2 linked regions of the Tribolium castaneum genome follow. The protein of the gene in region 1 purifies or fractionates together with the protein of each later gene. This does not show direct contact. Links are inferred from orthologs where the notes say so. Each region holds a gene or a part of one and is shown on either strand. Other genes may lie near its edges. The genes, in order: cytochrome c oxidase subunit 5A, mitochondrial; Ccdc56.

Region 1 (2,993 bases):
ATGTTACTTATAAAAATGCCTTTGGTTCTACGCACTGTAACGAAATTTTAATGATCTTGGCCTGATCATTAATTTCAGTTGTAAATTTTACTAGAATTCTGTAAAACCAAATAAAGCTATGAATTATGTACTTCACGCGTTTTCATTCCTACAACCATCAGCAAGGCACCGTTGAGGTTCGTATTTGATCGGATTAAGTCGACAAACAACCAGCCAATCGAGTGTTAGCATTTGACGTCATCGACTAATTCGGTTTCTCTTCCGATGAAATTAAAGTTACTAACATCGCGCTCAAAATATTCGACTAAATTGACATTAATAAAATAAGATGTGCATTTACCTGAGGCTTTTGCCAAATATATAACCATAAATAAATCGATTGCACCTGTGAATAGTTTGACAGAACCACAAAACATGGCAGGCTGGATGATTACCAACGTAACGAACGCAATAGACAACTATCTGATTTGTATTTTTTAGTGATTTTAACGTTCTTTGGATATTTGAAAATGCCTTATGTAACGGAATCATCATTTCCAGGAGAAAATTACGAGATTTAACTTATATACTGTTTTATTATTTAATTAATAACACGATACATTGACTAACTAAGCAGACATCTAGTGAATGTCATAGACTGACTCCAGGGCCAATTCTGGCTTGTCATAGCCCAACTCCTCAGGCGTATCAATTCCAAGTTCAGAGAGAGTGGGCCTGATTTCCTGGATGATGTAGGGGTAGATCTCGTTGACTTTCCCTCCACATTTATCTTTCACAGCTTCAACAATCCTCACGGCAAGAGCATAGTCATTAACCCTGCGGCAAGCCTTCAAAGCCGCAATCAGGATTTTAGGTTCGGGGACCAAATCATGCCCACAAAGATCATTAATCCCTTGCCTGATTTCCCACCCATCAATGTCCTTCCTGTTGAAGAAGTTCTCGTACCTACAATACAACAATTACACAAGTTAGTTATTTTTTAAGGGTGCTTCACACGTTATACAAACAAAAATCGCAAATTACGTAATTTACCTCGTATCGAACTGTTCGTCTGTCTCTGTGCTGTGAGCGGACATGAACCGTGTTGTTGTGGCCACAGAGGGCTTTGAGACTTGCACAGCCCCTCTCACGAGGGAGGTTAAGCGGAGGGCTGTTGTACGGAACATGTTTTTTGGCAAAATTACAACAAAACCTCACGATGGCGATGAACACTCGGTGTGACAAGTGCCAATAAAGTGAACTACGGGGCTTTTAAACGCGCAAACGCGTTACGTAAATGCGTTTGAACTAATTTCAAAACTCGCGCCCTTTCGATACATCCAGAGTACGTGATTTTTTAAACAATGCGAGTTTAAAAATAGAAACGGAAGCTTATCATGCTATTTTATGCTCATTGAATCATTGGAAATTAAACAACAACAAGGAAAAATGTGTTAAGAAGGATGCAATGTGCTAATAGTGATGTGACATTGAAGTCACGTTTATAAAAATATCTATTTTGCAAGAAGCAACTGCATCATCTTTTCGAACTTAAAATAATTTGTATTAATAAATAATGACGTAATGGAGAAGGAATTTCTTCAATTTGGGTTCACTGGGGTCTCGGTGCAGCTGATGTGCGCTAGATGGCGCCGTTAAACACCACGCCTACCAACACGAAAGGTTTTCGTCCAAAATGAAATAAAAATGAATCATTTTCGTTGAAGTATAATGGACAGTCAAATCCTTCGTTTAGACATTTTTGCCATATGATTAGGTGACTGAAAATCCGGTGAAACTCGCAGATCTGAACCAGTGATAGTGAAAATAAGTGATTTGGTTAGTGAGTGTGACGACCGCCTAGACCGCACCTATCTCTGTTGTGTGTTTGTAGTGTAGTGATAAATCGTTATCATGGACAAATAACATAGATTTTGAAATAATCTGGTAAGTTTTTCTGTGTCTGTAATGAGCCTAGATAATAGGCTGTTATCGAGATAACAGAGATAACGACCTGTGCAAAAACAAAACACCAAGTTGCACCTTCGATACGTCGAGCTTTAATTTATGTCAAAAGTGAGAAAACGATCAACATTCAACGACTTGGAATGCATTGTTTTCCTCCCGAATATCGCTAATAATGAGTCACTTTCGATTGATTTTGGGGGTAATATCCCCCGAACCATTGTGTAATATCTAAATTTAGTTAACCTAATCTGAAAATAATTCTTTCGCAAGATCAAGTTGCCGGTGGTTTTTTGACATTTCCACAATTTGTCATTTCCGAAATGTAAATGAAGTCATCCTTATTTCAAATGCTTCGACATGTTATTGAAGTCTGTTTATCGTAAGTCCAATTCGGGTAACCTATTCTTAAATTTAATCAATGGATATAAATAGCTCAAATACTCAAGTAATTGCATTCGTAATTTATATTCATGTCATACTCATGATTTGAGTCGCGGACGACGCGTTAAATCCATCCCACATGTAATTATTGTCAAATTTCCTTGTCATTTGACACAAGACTGTGTTTACACAGTTCGCACCCTCCGTGCTCAAGGGGTTTCTGAAACCTTATATTTAGAAGAATTATTTGCTTTACTCTCGAAATGACTCACTCAGCTTTGATGATTCCACTCGCATCCCTTCCTCTCTAATTTGAATGAAAATTTACAAATTTATCCAAAGGAAGAACGGACGCACTTATTAATCAATCAAATTACTAGTGACGTAATCAAACCACTTGTTAAAAGAAAAGTGTGTAATTATTAGGGTAATTAGTACAAGGTGGCGCCGTTATTAGTGACATCACTGTTACTAAACCCACATTTTTTAATACGATAGTAAACTATCGCCACCATTTTTCGGTTTACTTGACATAAACGTCTTTATGACATGTTAAGTCCAACCATATGTAAAATTCGCATAAAAATAGCATAAAAGATGATTGACGTTTGTTATCATTGTCGATTTAACAACAGAAAGAAGAGTCGGTTTGTCGTAAAGCACGA
Region 2 (2,448 bases), on another chromosome or scaffold:
AGTACATGACGTAATAGTGCTTCAAAAGTTACGTGTGCATGCAAAATTTCAAGTTAATACGATAACAGGAAGAGCCCCATGGAGTGCGAGAAAATTTTAGTTGAAGTGAAACAATTTTGTAAAATTTTAAAAATGGATTTCGTATCAGGATCACAGGAACGCAAAAGGGTAATGAGAAAAAATATATAATTCAAAATACACGCATGTGTATAACTGGTTGCATGCAAGCGGCGCTAAAAATTTCGTGACCTCTTTGCGTTCCTATGATCCTGATACGAAATCCATTTTTAAAATTTTGCTGAATTTCACCTAAATTTTCTTTCACTTACCAAAATTTTAGGTGAAATGAAACAATTTTGCATAATTTTAAAAATGAATTTCGTATCAGAATCACAGGAACGCGAAGAGATCTTGAACTTTTTTACTTCTTTGTGTTTCTGTGATCCTGATACGAAATCCATTTCTAAAATTTCGCAAAACTTGAAAATAATGCTCGGACCAGGATTACAGGAACGCAAAGGGGTCTTTGACTTTTTTCCTGATACGAATCTTTTTTCTAAAAAGTTAGAGAAATTGGGAAAGTTATAAAACAAAATTCGAAATTTTAACATATTTATTGAAACATTCAACTGAAACAAAAAACATAGATTCTTCAATCCCATTCTTCCAACTTTTCTGACCGGTTTCGCCCTTCTTGGGGCCCATCAGTGCAGCGCAGTCCTGTGAATGGAATGATCCCTATTATTTTTATAAAAAGGATATTTGTAGAAGTCACATCACTCATCGGACAACCGCAGACTGGTTTTACTCCATTTTTTAAGTTGAATTAAAGAAGTATTGGGATTTAAAAAAAAATATTTAATTTTTTTTAATAAAATGCGATTTTTCGTTCTTGTTGGAGATGAGAAGAGCAGAAAAAATCCTTCGGGATTGTAGGATTCCAAAAGAGCAGAACCACCCTTCTGTCTCCACCAAGAACGAAAATATTTCGTGTTTTCTATGTTGCATTCTGTTAAATTTTAATTCGAGTTTTATATTTCCAATTTTTTATTTTAAAATTTTGGGTGCCATCTTACCATCAGGTGTCCAAACATTACTTTACAGGAACCTAGAAAAAGATCTGTGTGTTGTACTCTGAAACAGTAGTTTACAGTAATCTGTAAATTAATATTTTTTATACACTAAAAATTCGGAAAAAAAAATCGGCATTGTGGGGCTACATGTAAATGAATTTGTAACTTATTTTGGTGCTGTGTAAACCGATTCCGAGTAAAATATTCTAAATTTGGATTTTTCTATAACCGAAAAATGTTCGCAATAGTAGTTTTCTTCCAAACTTGTAGGGTATGCTCTTAGGGCCTTGTTTTCCACAGCTGTACACTAAAAACATTAAAAAATGCATCATTTTATGCTTTTTCCAATATTTACCAAATAAACAATTCGCCCGAATTGCATTTGACGCCGAGTCTCGTTCGTCCGAAAACAGTTAAGAGCGAAAAATGTTTAGTGTTGGTAGCTCTGATACTGTGCCATTGACGTGACATTAACCACAGACCAAAAAAGACATTAATTAACTTTCGAGGTTATGTCCGCACTTTTTTGCACAAATCCCCAAAACAGTTAATATTTACGATGTCAGAGAGTGATCGCATGCCCAAAATTGACCGCACCAAACTGAAACAAACCGATATCGACTTCATAAAATTCGTGGAAAAGCAGAATTTGGACCGTGTCCGAAAACTGCAAACCCTTCGCCGCAAAAACCTGATCACTGTTAGCCTCCTTGGAACTGCAGTCTTGGGCATTTACGGCTATTCCATTTGGGCAGTGCGACAAGAAAACTTCCTCGACGATTTTGAAATCCCAACCACTGTAACAGAATCAGCAAAGTAGTAATGGCAGCGGCCAATCTTAGGTTACCCCCCTTGCCCACAGTGAGGGACTTAATTAAGTTGTATAAGTTAAGGGCGTTACGTCAGCTATCGCAAAACTTTCTTTTGGACGAAAGAATCACCGACAAAATCGTTAAAGCGGCTGGAAATATTCGGAATCATTATGTTTGTGAAGTGGGCCCTGGGCCCGGCAGTATAACCCGGTCCATCATCAGGAAGTGCCCCAAGAAGCTCATCGTGGTGGAAAAGGACCCCCGATTTGTGCCCATCTTGGAGTTGCTTCAAGAAGCGAGTCAGAGTCACGTCAAAATGGGGATTAAAATTCAGGATATCCGGGATTTTAATTTCGAGGAGGGTTTTGCGGGCGCTCCTGCACGCGAGTGGACGGACTACCCGCCCCCCATTCACCTCATTGGCAATCTGCCCTTCAGCGTTTCAACGAATTTGATTATCCGGTGGTTACATGCGATTTCGGAGCAAAGGTCGGCTTGGAGTTTTGGGCGCTCTACCATGACCTTGACGTTCCAGAAGGAAGTTGCTGAAAGGATTGTCGCTC

The links.
Region 2: the proteins of cytochrome c oxidase subunit 5A, mitochondrial (region 1) and Ccdc56 purify together in Homo sapiens (affinity purification with western blotting; 3 studies listed by BioGRID and IntAct, with this or other methods). This does not show direct contact. The link is inferred for Tribolium castaneum from reciprocal best matches to the Homo sapiens genes COX5A and COA3.

Annotation. Positions count from the first base shown.
Region 1 is NC_087403.1:1,168,214-1,171,206, forward strand, and holds cytochrome c oxidase subunit 5A, mitochondrial, read right to left. Parts: upstream 1,262-2,993; 5' UTR 1,167-1,261; coding exon 1,033-1,166; intron 946-1,032; coding exon 621-945; 3' UTR 556-620; downstream 1-555. Other genes in the region: Nrg (neuroglian), read left to right, coding at 2,295-2,326. UniProt on the Homo sapiens protein: Component of the cytochrome c oxidase, the last enzyme in the mitochondrial electron transport chain which drives oxidative phosphorylation.
Region 2 is NC_087394.1:32,882,538-32,884,985, forward strand, and holds Ccdc56 (cytochrome c oxidase assembly factor 3, mitochondrial), read left to right. Parts: upstream 1-1,632; coding exon 1,633-1,893; downstream 1,894-2,448. Other genes in the region: mtTFB1 (dimethyladenosine transferase 1, mitochondrial), read left to right, coding at 1,896-2,448. UniProt on the Homo sapiens protein: Core component of the MITRAC (mitochondrial translation regulation assembly intermediate of cytochrome c oxidase complex) complex, that regulates cytochrome c oxidase assembly.